Linked DNA regions of Tribolium castaneum. The protein of the gene in region 3 interacts with the protein of the main gene of each other region in a biochemical or structural test. Links are inferred from orthologs where the notes say so. Each region holds a gene or a part of one and is shown on either strand. Other genes may lie near its edges. The genes, in order: Roc1a, Roc2 and NEDD8-conjugating enzyme UBE2F.

What was found.
Region 1: the proteins of NEDD8-conjugating enzyme UBE2F (region 3) and Roc1a form a complex in vitro, tested with the Homo sapiens proteins (2 studies listed by BioGRID). The link is inferred for Tribolium castaneum from reciprocal best matches to the Homo sapiens genes UBE2F and RBX1.
Region 2: the proteins of NEDD8-conjugating enzyme UBE2F (region 3) and Roc2 form a complex in vitro, tested with the Homo sapiens proteins (10 studies listed by BioGRID, with this or other methods). The link is inferred for Tribolium castaneum from reciprocal best matches to the Homo sapiens genes UBE2F and RNF7.

What each region holds. Positions count from the first base shown.
Region 1 is NC_087402.1:12,065,089-12,071,448, forward strand, and holds Roc1a (RING-box protein 1A), read right to left. Parts: upstream 3,998-6,360; 5' UTR 3,902-3,997; coding exon 3,809-3,901; intron 3,757-3,808; coding exon 3,729-3,756; intron 3,680-3,728; coding exon 3,558-3,679; intron 3,507-3,557; coding exon 3,421-3,506; intron 1,368-3,420; coding exon 1,355-1,367; 3' UTR 1,195-1,354; downstream 1-1,194. Other genes in the region: serine-rich adhesin for platelets, read left to right, coding at 1-29; e(y)3 (titin), read left to right, coding at 4,301-4,448, 4,497-4,835. UniProt on the Homo sapiens protein: E3 ubiquitin ligase component of multiple cullin-RING-based E3 ubiquitin-protein ligase (CRLs) complexes which mediate the ubiquitination and subsequent proteasomal degradation of target proteins, including proteins involved in cell cycle progression, signal transduction, transcription and transcription-coupled nucleotide excision repair.
Region 2 is NC_087397.1:2,862,982-2,867,639, reverse strand, and holds Roc2 (RING-box protein 2), read right to left. Parts: upstream 2,511-4,658; 5' UTR 2,399-2,510; coding exon 2,054-2,398; 3' UTR 1,807-2,053; downstream 1-1,806. Other genes in the region: dual specificity mitogen-activated protein kinase kinase 7, read right to left, coding at 1-96, 449-663, 711-890, 940-1,167, 1,223-1,461, 1,517-1,580; Slik (STE20-like serine/threonine-protein kinase), read right to left, coding at 4,479-4,646. UniProt on the Homo sapiens protein: Catalytic component of multiple cullin-5-RING E3 ubiquitin-protein ligase complexes (ECS complexes), which mediate the ubiquitination and subsequent proteasomal degradation of target proteins.
Region 3 is NC_087403.1:3,755,202-3,760,353, reverse strand, and holds NEDD8-conjugating enzyme UBE2F, read right to left. Parts: upstream 2,102-5,152; 5' UTR 1,991-2,101; coding exon 1,733-1,990; intron 1,685-1,732; coding exon 1,523-1,684; intron 1,480-1,522; coding exon 1,363-1,479; 3' UTR 1,210-1,362; downstream 1-1,209. Other genes in the region: rb (AP-3 complex subunit beta-2), read left to right, coding at 36-432, 488-831, 876-1,014. UniProt on the Homo sapiens protein: Accepts the ubiquitin-like protein NEDD8 from the UBA3-NAE1 E1 complex and catalyzes its covalent attachment to other proteins. Together with the E3 ubiquitin ligase RNF7/RBX2, specifically neddylates cullin-5 (CUL5).

The DNA.
Region 1 (6,360 bases), on a different chromosome or scaffold from region 3:
ACGCCGCAGGATGTAAAGGAAATAAATAAATTATTGTGAATGGAGAATAGGTTCATGAAAAAATAAATACTTTTGAATGTTACGTCCTTTATTTGTTTAAAAAACCTATCATAATTTATTCACCAGTGTCGCTGTTTTCGTATTTTATAATTACTAATTTGGCAGCCCAATTGTTAGGTTATGAATAATAACATAAAATAACTGTGTTAAATAATAGAAACATATTGGTTTTCTCGAAACATACTTACGTTCATCATGGAGCAAATCAACAATAGATAGTACAAATCAATGAACAATTAATAATACAAAAATATAGGAGAAAATTCCACTACAGCTTTTTAGTTTCAATATTTTGAAAAATGCCTCAGTTTTTGAACTAGAAAAGTAATCGTTATAGGAGTGTTGAAATAAATGTTATGGGAATAACTAAATTTTTGTATAGCTCCTCTCCTTTTATAACATCCATTCCAATTACAATAGCAGTGCCGCCTTTTCTCTCAAAGTTAAATTATTCATGCACTTCTAAACCTTAATAGCTAATGTAATTTATGATTTCAATGACACATCTAATAATCAAAAAATATTTTACATTTTTATCAACATTATTTAAACAAACGAAGTTGTTAGCATTTTTATTAAATTGGAATGACTAGTATTTGAAAAAATGAAAAATCATTATTCATTATCATTAGGTATCGATAATAATAATATTAAGAAGGCTTTGAAAAAAGAAACAATAAATAATTCAGTGGGGCGAAGTGTGGCTGAAAGTTATTCAGTTCAACCCTACAAAATAAAAATTAAGAAAAAACCAACAAATAAGTACACGCAAAAATTGATATTAATGACCAAATGATATTCTTAACATAAAACGAAATAAAAAGACTCAAAAAGTATCAACTCCCGAAACTTTAAATTTAATGCATCTCAAGGAAGAAAAAAAAGAGAAGGAAACATTTCTTAAAACTTTTAAGGCCAAAATGGGAACAGTAAACACGCAGTTGCAAATAATTTCAGCTCTTTAATAAATTATTAATAAAATTAGAAATATTTACGTTATGTGCATGACAATCCATGAACAAAGATACTGGAATTCGGAAGATTAGGTTTTATGCGTACTCAGTAAAAACCAAAAAAATTTATTTTTACAACTAGTAATTATTTTGGGATAGTAGGTATTGAAAAAAGACAGTATGAATTGAATAATAATTTATTGAAATACAAAATGTAACAAAAAATTTCAAGACCTGGATTATACAAAAACTAAATTTCCGTTATAACATGTTGAGTTTACGAAAAAAAATGGTGAGAATCAAATACCGAAAACCGTATTATGCTACTGATAACATAACGATCAATGCCCATACCTGCAAAAAATACATCATCAGTACTTTCTTAGAATAAAAAATAAAATAAAAAAAATCAAAGTAATTTACACCACCATCACATGTTTCAGTTTATTTTCACTTTCTACAGTTTCTTAAAAATTGTTTTCTTCGATTTTTTTCGTAAACTACTGTTTGAGTTTTTCTGAAATTTATCGGATGATGTATTTCTGTAGAGAACAAGTCAATATACCGGTAACTAAAAAACTTTTACAAAAGCGTTTCTCATTATTCGTTGTTATTTGGCAAATGCAGTATATGTATTAGCTATTTTGAAAGTATAAAAACGCCAAAATCGCATTTTTTCTCAAAATTAGTTGTTATAAATTATTCATGCACTTTAAAAAATAGTACCTAATGTAATTTATACTTTCAATGAGAGATCTAATCATTAGTAACTATTTTAAAAATTCTATGTATTTTGTTTAAAAAAATAATTCAGTAACAGGCGACGTTGGCGTTTTTATAGTTTTGAAACAGTTTATTTATTCAAACGAAATAATTAATTAATATTACAACAATTGAACAATTGTTAGAAAACAAATACATATTAATTCAGTTTTTAGTAAAATTACTTTGATTTTTATTTAAGTTATTTAAGTTGTTTAAATACGTTCTTAGGACAAATACTAACGTTGACGATTATACTGTTTTTTAAGTTAAAGTACCTACCACTTAAAATTATTTTCAAGTATACAGGCTGTTTCTAAAATTAGATACAATACAAACTTGTTTTTTTAAATGGAACAACCTATATTTTTTGCATTTTTGGATGTAGCTTTTAACACAGATGTTTTCAAGCTTTTCAAATTGTTATAGGTCGATTTTGCTTTGTTTTTACAATAACTGGATTTTTTTGCCAAAACACGCTTTTTTAAAAAAATCGTTACATAAAAACTTAGAATCTCAGAAAAGAGGAACTTTCACCACTTTAAAGAAAGAAAGTTCAAACTCCAAGGATGTATTATTTTTATTAGCTTACTGCAATCAAGAAGATAAAAAATGAAGAGGTTTGTTGCAAGTTGAATAACTTAAAAATTTTAAATGGAACACCCAATTTTTATTTTTGCATCTAAAAGACCTTTAAATAGTCTCTCTGACAAGATTAACAGTTGGGTCTTTCGCTAATTAGTGATTACTCAAAAGATTTTTAACATTAAACAATAAAAAAATTATTACCTATTGTTTCAGTAGTCAAAAAGTGAAATTTTCTGCTAATAATAACTTTAATGTTACTTTTAGGCCATTATTTGTCATTTATAACAGTGAAATAATTAAAATTTCAATACTTATAGAATTTTTAGTCCCGTATAATCTCCAACAAGTGGTCTGTGGTGGAGTTGCTATGGTTGTGATATGTTGTTGAAATTAACGTTTAAAGTGAAATATCTTTTTAGTTAGTAACTTTAGGAAGTTGAAACTTTATGTTTTTAGTAATTTAGTAATTTTTGAGAAGCAATAACAAAAAATAGAGTGTTCCATTTAAGTTTTTCAAGTTTTAATAAACTTTAATTTTTCTGTTTCTAATTGTAATACGCTAAACAATTGGAACAGATTTATAAGTTTGAACTTTTCCCCGTGTGGGATTCTACGATTCTGCCTTTTTGTGTAATAATTTTTTGTGTTTTTGTCAAAAAAATCAAAATATTTTAAAAACTAAGCAAAAATGCAATAAAATTTAGGGTGTTTCATTTGAAAAAACATAGCTTTAGTGTTTTTTTATATTGGAACATCCTCTATATGCATACCCGTATCTAAAAAAAAGGAAAACTCAATATCTTTAATAATAAACAAATTATGGAGCTTTTTGGGATCGTTGGGACAGCCTGTGTTTAAGTATTATTATGAAATTACTATAACAAAAACTGTGAAATGTGACATTCAAATTTCCCGCCATGTCACACAACAAAGTAGATCGTTAATTGACCACTAGATGGTATAACAATAAAAAATTTAAACCCTCTGTATTGTAAAAGTTGTAAAAACAAAGGGACTATTAACCCGTTAGAAAAACATTTAAAATAAAAAAACTTACTTTTGAAATTCCCATTCTCGATTATCTAGTGGGCACACCTGCCTTGTCTTCAACCACCTCGAAATACAGTGAAAATGAAACGCGTGCTAAAACCAGATTCACTAAAACCAAAACTCAAAAAACAGCAAATTACTCACATTACACACTCCCCAAGCAACTGTACACTCTTCACTGGTCGCTGAGGCCTGATTTGCCTGACACTCAATACATAAATCCATAATATGATTGCGACAAATGGCACAATTATCGACCACGATATCTAAAATTTTAATTAAAACCAACGTGTCTAATAAAATGACACAGCGTACCCCAAGCCCACAACGCTACGGCGTTCCACTTCATAAAAATGAAAAATCATCAAGTGTTAGGTTATGTCTCACAAACTTACCTTTTTCACTTCGAAACGCTTCTTTTCACCCTTGGAACTGCTCGAAGTGGGAACTTCGACCTCGTCAACATCCACGTCCATTGCCGCTGCCATTTTTGCCCAAATAACACAAAATTGTGAGTTTTTACAAACGTTAATTGCCAAACTGTTTGGGGTGAAATTTCGACTGGGGAATTTTACGCGTGTGTTGGGTGCCCTTCAACCACCACAGAATGACCAATTTTGCGAAAATCAATGTTATTAACTTAACTAATGGATGGCTAACGCATTAAAATTGTAAACAAGTGTTGTATTAATTGATAATTATTTTATTAATGGCCATTTTCGTCTGACGGTTGCCGTTGGCACTCCTGGCGAAGCTTCCACTTGTGATGGCGTTTGTCGTTTAAAACCGTAAACAAAAATGCCGCATTTAATTATACCCGTAATTAATTGTCTGTGATAAACGGTGTGTTTTCAACCAAATAGCACCATTTTCCCGTGCAAGTGACAATGGAAAGTGAAAAATCCACCGAAAGCGAGTTAACCTCAACAATGGGCAACCTGCTGTCATCGAATACCGACGAAAAAAGTGAGTCTTGTGATTCAACCCCAACGTCTTCCACCGATGCATTTACAACCACTTCAACGTCACACATTGGTAAGTGTTTTTTCCAGTTTTCCTTGCGCTTACTTCAATTGTGTTCAGCTGCTGACGATCCAATCAGTAGCACATCCTCGGATGCTTTGGATTCGGGGAAACACCCGAGTAGTGCGAACCCAGTTATTAATTTAGTGAGGGAGATGTCAGGGGGTGGTAACCCATCGCCGATTGCGTCCGATAAGGACCTGCTCGATATGAATATTACGGATACTTCTACGGAGAAAATTACAGAAAATGTTGATGACATTGTTCAGGATTTGGAGAATTTGTTAGGGGAGCCGACGACTTCGTTTGATTTTACGATTCGAAAGGATCTGAGAGGGGCTAATAAAGACATTGCGATGGAGCTTGATGAGTTTTCAGCTGAACTTCAAATGTTGCAAGGTAAGAAATCAAATATTTATTTAATTTATATTAATTTTAAATGATTAGTTAATAAGTCAGCCAGTGTCAAAAAACGGGCGTTAGGGGAGCCACTAGTCTGGGCTTCAATGGAACATGTATGTTTTGGTTTCAAAATGTACTAAATTTCGTTTCCAAAAAATACAGCCGAAATCAAATATTTTATTAATTAATTGAGTTAATAGTTAATAAGTCAGCTATGGGCATTGGGGTGCTTCACAGTCATGTCTTAAAAATTTTGAACAGTATCAAATGTTAGCGTAATTATTAGCTGTTTCGAAATTATAAAAATGCCAACGTCGGATTTTCTCTAGAAGTAATTGTTATAAATTATTTATGCTTTTCAAAGAATTAATAGCTTATATATTTTCTAGTTTTATTGGAAGATCTTGTCATTAATAACTATTTTTATCAATCTTATTTAAAAAAAATATTCGGTTAAATGCGATGTTAACAGTGTCTTAATTTTGATATTGTTAAAGTCTTTGATAATTAAGGTTATTGATAATTGAATAATTAATAATTGAAATTTTTAAGAAACGGTTCTGCAAAAATTTAAAAATCTATGATAGATATCAATTTGTATTTTTTTTTCTGTTCGCATTTCCAATTTTACAATGTGGCTCCAATTATAGGTTGGAAACACCTTGACTGGTACTGTTGTCCTAGAAAAAAAAATCATTTCAACTGATACTGTTCATAAAAACTGAAAATAAAATCAAAATTTTTTTGCAGTGTTCCGTCCGTTAAACTGGAATGGCTGAAAATTAGGTGATTTGATATTTATAGTCTATGATTAAATAATTTCCTGATATAATTTTCTCATATTTGAGTAATTTTTTTACTGTAGCGTTATATTCCATTGTAGTATTTCACAAATGCTCTGTATGTTTGTAATTATCTTTTATGCTTTTATACTTTATACGATTATTAGGTATATCATCAAAGAAAATAAACACAAAATATTTCGAAATGTAACAAAATTAATTCTCATGTAAAATTAAGTAACAAGAATAAAATGTAAATAAAAATAAACAAAAATGAGGTCACAAAGCAATATTAAGAACAAAAAAATATTATAAAATTTTTGTGCTTACTATTAATTATTATTTTATATTGGTTATTATTTAATAACACAGCTGGTCTATTATTAGATCATAATTTTGCTACTAGGAGACAACTTATGATATCAATATAACCTATAGGTCTTATAAAAAAACACGTTTTTCAGTTTTCAATACAATTATTTTAAAAATAAGGTGAAAAACCAACCTTTTTCTGAACAGTATAGCCAAGCAAACGAAAAACGTGGTTGGAGATATGGTTTATAAATTATAAACTAAGTTTTCAGTTTTTGGTTTGAGATTGATTTTTCTAAAAACACATCGAAAAAATTTTTTTTATTTTTTTTGCTGGCTTTTCAGTCAGTAACTCTATTATTTCAAAATTTTGTTAGAAATAATGCGAAAATTACAAGACATGGTTAATAATATGTTTGCTGTGTAAC
Region 2 (4,658 bases), on a different chromosome or scaffold from region 3:
TCCCCCACATTCACCAGCTTTACTTCGTACTTTTTAATAAACGACAAATTTTTCAGTTTCGCATATTTAGGCCTCTGTTTTTGATCTTTAATTAAACTGAAACCAACGTTTAAAGACCGGCTCTTAACGATTCAATGTTAATTAAATAGGAGGCGACAGCCACAGATCACCCCGGTTACAAATTGTCTTAAATTATTATGTATATTGTTTTCGAAAATATCTTTATTTCTTTACACCTAACTACAATTTTCTGTATATCTTGTGTTGAAGATTATTATTATTAATATTATTAGAGATTCATTTTGCGAAAAACGCGTTCATTGAAGTCAAATCACAAAAAATATTTCGTGAAATATCAGCAAATCATGTAAATTATTACGTAAATTCTTACTTTGCATAAAAGCAGTGTGTCGCCTCCTATTTTAGGCTCCCACAGTGCCATACTTACCAAAATTTAACAAATTCCCTAAATTCCGGACTAAAAGTCTCAGGTAAGCTTGGCGGATCTTGTCCTAGCACTTTGGTTAGGACTTCAAAATCGGTTGTACAGTTGGGATATGGGAAAACCCCCGTTGCTAATTCAACTAGAGTTATGCCTAATGACCAAACGTCGGCACGTATGTCATAGTCGGGATTTTTAGGGTCGGGTTCAATGCGTTCCGGCTAAATTAAAAAATTAGAAAAAAAATAAATGTGGGGGAAAAACTCACAGCTAAATATGCAGCACACCCAGCGCTCCTAGTTTTTGCCATTGAGTCCACCAAACGTCCACTAATACCAAAATCACACAATTTTATATGGCCTTTAGTGTCGATCAAAATATTTGAAGGTTTTACATCCCTATGTATCACACCGTGCTTATCTTTTAAATACGATAAAGCCTCTACAGTCTGTAACGTTCAGTGAGCGTGGTGCTTGAAAAGGAAGACGTGTACTTACAGCAACTGTAACTTTACCCAGGATTTCTTCAGGTATCGGTTTACCTAACCGTTTTAGTAACTTATCAAAGCACGTAGTCATGAGCTCCATGCATATCCAGACTTCCGAATCGGTTATAAAACAGCCTAAACATTGAACTATATATTTACAGTCGTGTGACTTTAGGACCACTTCAATGTCCATAATAATCCTTTTGTTTTCGTCGTTGTTGCCCGAACGTCGCATTTGCTGAAATGGAAGCCCGTGAAATAAATTGTGTTAATTTTTGGACCTTGATGTTTACTTTGACGGCTATGATTTCGCCACTTAGTTTGTGTCTCATTTTGATAACGTGACCGCAGGTCCCGAAGCCCAGTTCTTCAAGTCTTTCCATATCTTTTATATCAGTTTCGTATAGTTTGTTGTTGATTGTTAGGTTACCACTAATTTTCATGATTTCTTTCAACTTCCTATCAGTCTCTAAATTTTCACTGCTTCTTGGCGTGAAAGATAAATCTCGTGGCCGGCTGGGGACCATGCCCACTGGGAAAACCAAAGATCGCTCTTATTTTCCCCCTTAACTTATTAAACAACTTACATGGGAGACTCGGGCGACTGTGAGGAACATCACCATTATTTCTGGCGATACTTTGACCGGACATTTGCAGATTGCGTGGAGGATTGTTTCCTTGTCTTAATCGATCTAATAAATTATTTATTTTCTGTTCTTGACTAGACATAATTATACTTACTACAAAGTCAAAACCAATGACAGCTATAACCTGTAACTTTTAGCTGCCAAAGGAAAAACACCATCGGTTGGCCAACCTGACACAGTTGCTACCGAACTCATCAGAAATCAAAAGTTCCCACAAATAAAACAACCAGTTCTGTTTTACAATTTTATTAATAAAAGGAAATACAATTAATTATGTTTGGGCATGTTTGGCATTATGATGCCTCTTTAGTTTTTGACTTTCCGTGAAAGACTTGCCACAATTGGGAAACTGGCATACATAAGGCCTCTCCCCAGTGTGGCTCCTCAAATGGATGATCAGGTGGTGCCGTTCGAAAAATGTTTTAAAGCATTCGTCACACTTATGTAAGCGCAAACCCTGAAAAGTACACGAAATCATTATTTGCCCATCCTCTGGATGGACCATTCTTGCTGACACAACGGGCAGCGATTATTTTGCTTGACCCACAAAGACATGCAACAATAGTGAAACGAGTGGTTGCACTCCCCCCACACCACCACGCAATCCTGCTTCCCGTACGAGTCTTTTTTGCTCTCAGCTTGGCACCGCAAACACGCGTCCATCACTTGCACGCGACAAATCGCACAAGTGTCGCATTCCACGTCCCAGCTCCACATTGCAACAGCGTTCCATTTTTTCAAAGTGAACATTTTCTCGCTCTTGGCTCCCTCGCCGTCGAGGCGCTCGGTGTTCTCGTTCTCGTCGGCAATAGAACTCGACATGGTGGCAGTTATCAACCAAGGGCGTTATTTATTATCCTAATTGTAACCTCAATATTTGCGATGACGTTTGACGCGTTAGTAACAGTGCCACCAACAAGAACACGCTAAATTACAAAAATACCCACCTGATGGTACCTTTGGTGCTTCAGGAGCTCTTTTTTGGTATAGAACGCCGAAGGGCAGGACTGGCACTTGAATTCCTTGATTCCTGTGTGAATTCTTTCGTGCCTCTGCAAACTGCACTTTGAAGCAAATGCTCTGGAACACTGCGAGCAGTAAAATCTGACTCCTTCATGATGCTTTTTTTCATGTGCCCTCAGATTACTTCGCACAGAAAACCCAAGATTACAGAGCTTACACACGTAACCTTTCACTTCCAGGTGTATTTTTTCGTGGCAGGTTAATGAATTTTTTGTGATGAAGCCTTTGCCTGTAATAATTTTTTACTTGTGGGGCGTTAATAGAAATAATTGTTACCACAAGTTACACACAAAAACGAGCGTTTCCCCTGATGTTTGAGCTCATGCGTTTTTAATGTGTAGGCGGAACTGAGGATTTTTTTACAATTCTTCCAACTACAAACGAATTTGGCTTTTTTAAACGCCTCCAAATCCTCTGTTTCTATTTTATTTTCAAAACTATCATGTTGCGAATTTTCTTCTTCTGTGAAACAGTTGTGAGACCCATACTCCTCCAAGTTACAAAACTTGTTATCACATTTCGGACACGAAACTTCTGCTTTAATTTCCTCCTGACTAACACTTATCTGGTGTGAATTTAAATGATTCTTAAATAAATCATGATCACTGAACTCCCCTGGACATTGTTCACACTTGAAGATTTCTTCTTTAGTGTCCTTACTTTTGGCTTCGCAATTTTTTAAAATCCTTCTGAAACACTGATCCACTTTGCGAATGTGTTGCTTGTAAAGCGAAAAACATTTTATGGTTTTTTTGCACTCCTCACACACAGAACGCGGCAAAAGCTCCATAGATTTATCATTTACCTACAAAAAAGTTCTTTAATAAATTACAAATTGGGCAAGTTTTTTTCACCTTCACTTTTGTGCATTCGTAAATTTCTTTTACTAATTTTTTGTCTGTTTTTATGTCGTGTTGGCCGGGCTTTGTGTGACACAATCGGCAGTTTTTCAGCCTTATTTGTTCGAATAAAACCATTTTCGTTTTTGTTGGTAAACCGTACCCTAACCTTACTTTTTTTTAATATACAGTATGTCCCAGAAAAGTTGAGGTGGAAGGATTAAATCGAATTCTATTTATATTATTTATTTGAATATAATAGTTACTGGTAAATAATATGCACATAAAAATAAAATACACTGACTGTACATCATAATAATACAGAACAGCATGATAGTGGCAAACGTTAGTAAAGAACTAAAAGACGATAAAAATCTTATCACACTGTCCTAATAAACTTAAGTTAGATGGAATTTGTATGTACACCTTAGAATACAGCTGATAAAAATTTCAGTATTTAAATAACATGGACTATAATAGTATTTATACATCAGACTGGAGTAGTGCAAGCGTAAACAAAAAACAATCCCAATACAATCTATTATGTTAAATAATAATTAATCAGTATTTATTGTTAGATAATACCTCAATACAAAGAAAACTTACTTACGAACATGATATAACAATCTTTTGAACTATTAGTACAATCTAACTTAATTATTTCACAAAATAACAAGTGTAACCTGTCAGTCTGGTTTTAATAAATGCACACAATTTTAAATCCTCAATCACCTCTAATCTTAATTTAATAAAAAGGATCGACGTAAAACTAGTCTAGTTTTAGCAAGCAAGCTAACAATAGTTTATTTGTTTTCAGTAAACAACCTGAAAAAAATTCTCCCTTTCGAAATTTCCAAATTTAAGTAGCTTATCAGGTCACCTCAATCTCTCTAGTAAAAGAAACAAAACGAAAAAAATGTTTCATACGATTTTCTTAATTATTCAGTCTGTGTAATAAGTATATACACGAGTTAGGGTAATCAATGCTCGCTCTGGATCTGCAGAGGCACATTTTGGAGTATACTGTTTCCTAAAGCGTTCTATCCCTCCGAAACCGACGATAAACTGCTCCTAGTCGACCCCATCCCGATCTTGCAACTCTCCTGGCTCAGATCGGGCAAATCTGGAGGCAAAGCCAGAGGAGTACTGATCGGCCCATAAACCCTTTCCTGTTCTTCCAACTGCTGGGCAAACGCCTCTTCCAATTTCTAAACAATTAC
Region 3 (5,152 bases):
GGTTTTCGGGCAAATTGATAGTAAAACAATTTCAGGAAGTCGGCGAGTTGCACTTCGAGCGAAGAGTCCAGCAGTGAGGAGAGTGAAGAAGAAGCGAAGAAACCCGAAGCACCAAAACCAAAATCAAACTTAGACTTATTGCTAGATTTAGGCGACGTTGATAGCACTGCACCCGTGATGACCCCATCACTGGGCGGGTTCCTAACACCGAGTGTCGTAAGCACGACACCTTCGCAGGTCGAAATGACGCCCCCCGTTTTCACCAACACTAAAACCATCGAACTTATTAACAAAATCAACGGGCGGGGGCTGTCGGCCACTTACAGGTTCACCCGGACGCCTCATATTTTATCGCCAAGTATGGCAAACATCAATATAATGTTCACCAACAACACCACCGAAGACATCAGTGATATTAGGCTGGGAAAAAAGGTTGGCTGGTCTTATTTTGTTTCTTTGAAACGGTTCCAGTGTCCGAATTTTGTAGAATTTAGGACTGGACATGTCGATGTATGAGTTCGCAAACATCGCCAGATTGCCGCCAAACGGCTGCCTGCCCGCGTCGCTCGGGATCGACTTCAACGACACGACCCAGCCGGCGAACTTCGAGATCGTGTGCTCGTTGGGCAACTTCAGCGTCTGCATAAAGCCGACCATAGGCGAGCTGGTGCGCCCCGTCCGGATGGACACCCCCACATTCCAGGAAAAGCAGTCGAAGTTGGGCGGCATGAACGAACATATCGGCAAAGTGAAGTGCGTCTCTAACATCGTCGAAAGAGTCACCGAATGCAGCAACTTGGGCGTGTGCGACCCAGCGAGCGACAGCCTGAGGTAACGCCCGCTTTTGTGTGGCGAGTGATTAGTCTCGTTTACAGGTTCGCGGGCCAAACGCTGAAATCGTCGAACTTCGTTCTGGTCACAATAACCAAGCAGGAGGTGGTCACTGTCAATTGCGAGAACATGGTCTTTGGGTCCGTTATGCTCAACGAACTGCTACATAATCTCAAGTCATAAGTTGCTTCAGCGTATTTGATGTATTGTACTTGTTTGTAACGGGAAATACTTGAACATAATGTGCACTTGCTAAACGCCGAGCTTCCTTTTGCGTGAATATTATGTTGGATGTATTTGCCACCTAGTTATCACTTTTCTTTTTTATCCTTTCAAATAAATATTTATGAGAAGTGTGTGTTTGGATTGAAACAGCGGTAATTCATATAAATATATTGTGGTAAACTTTACCCAAAGTGAAGAGTTGCTCACTTGTGGACAAACTTTACGATAACTTTTTACAAAAAAAGGAAATGGAGTATTCACACTCGTGAAAGCGGACAAACAGTAATATCGACGACTCTACAACGATTAATCTTTAGCATACAGCATAACGTACTCATTCACTTTCATTCTAAATTCCTCCTTAGAGTTTCTATACATATCCGAAGCTTCTATATTTAAAGGATCGTCAAAATTTAACAAATCCTGAAACAAAACGTCAACCGTGTCCAAACGATCCGATAAATACCGTAAATAAGGCGTGTAGGCCCCAGACGACGTCGTTTAATCTCCTAATGGGCGACCAGCCCAGCCCGTCCATGCTGTGCTGCCTCAGGAGCGATAGGCACACTTCGCCGACTTCGGTTATGTTAGGGTGCCACAAACGCGTGAGGCATCTGACAGTGGGAGGCTGCAAACGAGACTCAACCGCCGATCGCAACTCGGTGGCAATACTTACAACCATGTTATACTCTTCGGTAACGTTAATAGCAAATCTAAAAGTACCACCCTCCCAAAGGCCCTCCGTGGGTCTCACGGTTAAAATGAACTTGCTCAAATCGTTCTCATTCTCGTAGAAAACTGAACAATTACTGGGCAAAAGTTGGGCCATTTCTTGTGATTCTTTAATTAGTAGTTTGTCCCTGATTGAAATTCGGTTCGTGTTAGAAGAACGGTCTTCTTGCTGTTTTTTCAAGCGTTGGGATAGCGTAATCATGATTCTACAAATTATTATTGAAACACAATGAAAATCATCGCATTGTTTATGTTTAATTTTGATATAAATTTTTGGTTAGGTAACTGACAGCGCCGCTGTCAACGAGAGTGACCCGGACCGAAAGATCTTCGAACCGAATTTTTTTTCAAATTGTTTAAACGAAATAAGGCGAAAATACTATCAACTGTTACTTTAACATAATTTTGGTTAATAGAAAAAACTCAAATTTGGGGTGGTCTAATTGTGTTTTATAACACGTATATGTACCATGGTTATTTAAAAAGTTTCCACCCAAATACTACAAGACTTGACCTTGTAAATCAAATTTTTATTTCCAATGTTTTGGATTTTTTTACTAAGGAAGGAGAGACCCACATGAATGATTTATTAAATGAGTAAAAATAGTTTATTGCGTAAATAAAAGATACATTTGTGTTTACTTTTTGGGGCGTACTTGAGCGGCTTCGTTACCAAACATCTTCCACAGGCTTCTTCTACGGCAGGGTGGTCTTATGATATTATCTCTTAAACAAATTTGGTAGACCTCCGGGTCTGTTTTGGCAAGGTTGAGGACCTCAGCAGAGCTTAACTCCCTGAATAGAAAATTTATGTTAAAAAATATAAGTACTTATTTGAATTTTTTACGTACTCCCAAATCACCGAAAGACGCCCACGATTGTCTTCCCTACCTCGAACCTTCTTGGCATCTTTTTTAGACTGTTTTGATGAGACACAACCCATTTTCTTCGCGAGTATACGACTTATAAGCATGTAACTGCCGCAACGCTGATACCCCTTTTATTCATTCTGATAGTATGTAGACTGATAAAATATTTTCATGAAGATTCCTAACAGGTAAATCGGTTATAATCAGCAATACGTAACAGGTGCGCCACCCAAGTGAAATATTTGGATAAATGGCCCTAATTAAGTTATCAAATTATTAACGTAAAAATACAAAAATGCGAATAATGACGCTTAAAATTTTATCATAATATTGTAACATGACTTATTTTTAAAAGCTTGCCATACGAAAATCACAAAATTTTTTTGAAGAATCTAAAATTACAGGCAAATGTCACATTACAATAAAGGTTTTTTTATTGTTTTGTATATACATTTAAATTGTAGATAATTTGCAAAGAAATGTTCACAAAATTTGATTTGTGACACGTAATACTGATAGCCCAATTGACAGTATGTTATTTTAAATTTTTTCTCTTTGTTGATTTGGACGTTAGATGTTTTTCCAAAAATGTAACTTTATATTAGAAAGGCGGTTTTGTTTTGCCGAGCGTCCACCAGAATAGCGCTGCGTGACCACTACTCTTTCCACGAAGACCCAGGATCAACCCAAAACACGAAAAAGCCTTTTGTAATTTCAGTATTTATCAAAAATGATTCCTGTTTTTTATTAAATAAGGTATACATATTTTTTTGCTGCTTTCTTTGAATAATTTTTTTTGGAACTAGCGTCAATTTTTTACGTAATTTTCTAACAAACAACAACATACAAGCATCATTTTCTTCTAAGTGCTATTCATTAGGAATAATAAAAAAGCTTAAATAGTTTTCAAGATAAGAAAGTCAAAATTACAGCATTTCGGCCCTGCTAGGAGGTCCTAGGACCTGATATCAGGCAAATGTTGCAGAATATTAAGTTAAATAAAAATTAATGACCGAATTAATCTTCGCCCACATCTGCCGCTGAAATTGGCTTCGAAGAAGGCAAAAATAATTTTATTGGAAAAGGGACGTCAACAACAATTAGACAAAGTGTTAAAACAGCAAAATTTATTTAATTAGGCAAATATCAGCCGATATTTGAACAATAAAACATCAGTTTTTGGAAGCACTTTAATCGCCTTCTGATTGGTCTGTCTTACTGTCGGGAGTGCATCAGCCCAGCGCTATCCAATGACAAACACCTTGCAATTTTTTGTGCGGTAGATAAGCAAGAAGGAGGTACTTGCTGTATTTTTATTGGTCGAATGACGGATTCGTGAAACGAAGATAATTTCGGTTTAGTAATTTATCGAAAAGTCACAATTATCCACATTATCCATTAAATATTCTAATAAAATTATCATTAATTAAGTAATACCTAGGGAAAAACCAAATATTTTTAATTCGTAGTCCTTGATCTTTGTTTTGCCGAGCGGCCACCAGAGTAGCGCTGCGTTACCACAAACGCTTTTACATATTACTAGATTTTTTATCAAATTTTTAGAAATTTGGACGCCACACATAAAGATAAACAGTAACAATAATAATGTTGAAAAGGATCAGAGTAACTGCTCTAAGTCTGCCGAAATGGAAATGAAAGCGTCAAATTGCCTCAAAATTTATATAGAAGATAAGGAAGAAGAAAATTAAAAAAACGCCCAACAAGGCCTTTTTAATTCATATAAATTGTAAAATATGAATTGTGGTAATGTAGACTTCCGCTACTTTCGCAGCGCTACTCTGTCGGCCGCTCGGCAAAATAATGAATTCTGGCGGCAATTTTTATTCAAAAAAACGACTTTTTCTTAATTTTTATTAATAAAATTAATAATTTTAGAAATCCTTGTTTTGCTGTCCGACAAAAAATTAAGAAAAGATTATTTTCTATATTTGAAAAAAATCCACTTAAAGATTGGAACAATTTTCTAAATTTTTGATATCATATCAGGATTATCGATGCAAAGAGACCCCAGCGTAATCAGCGTGAAAAATTATAAGACAACACCTTTAAAATAAATAATTCAGAGTTAACCCTTCGCAATAAGCAATTAAAAATCTATAAAACGGTATATTGGTTTGAACCAAACTTAATTTTTTATCAAAAGTCGAACGTTGCTGGTTCTCAAACATTTACATTATATGAAACTTCCACCCGATTCTACTTAAGTTACACAGATAGGTCACAGAAAGTCACGAAATGTAAAAAGGGCCACTTAGAAAACAGCCTAAAACGCTGTTAATTTTCTATCTGAATTTTTGAATTCTTGAAATCGTAAAAATTTTCCGGTCCTGATTAAAATAGCGATTGTGTAAAAAAATTGTAAGCATTTTATAGGCATTCAAAATCTTCCACTTCGATTCGAAACTATCTGCACCTGACGAGTCTTCTTCGAATACATTATCGCTGCAATTTTGTTTTGATAAAATACTCTTCAT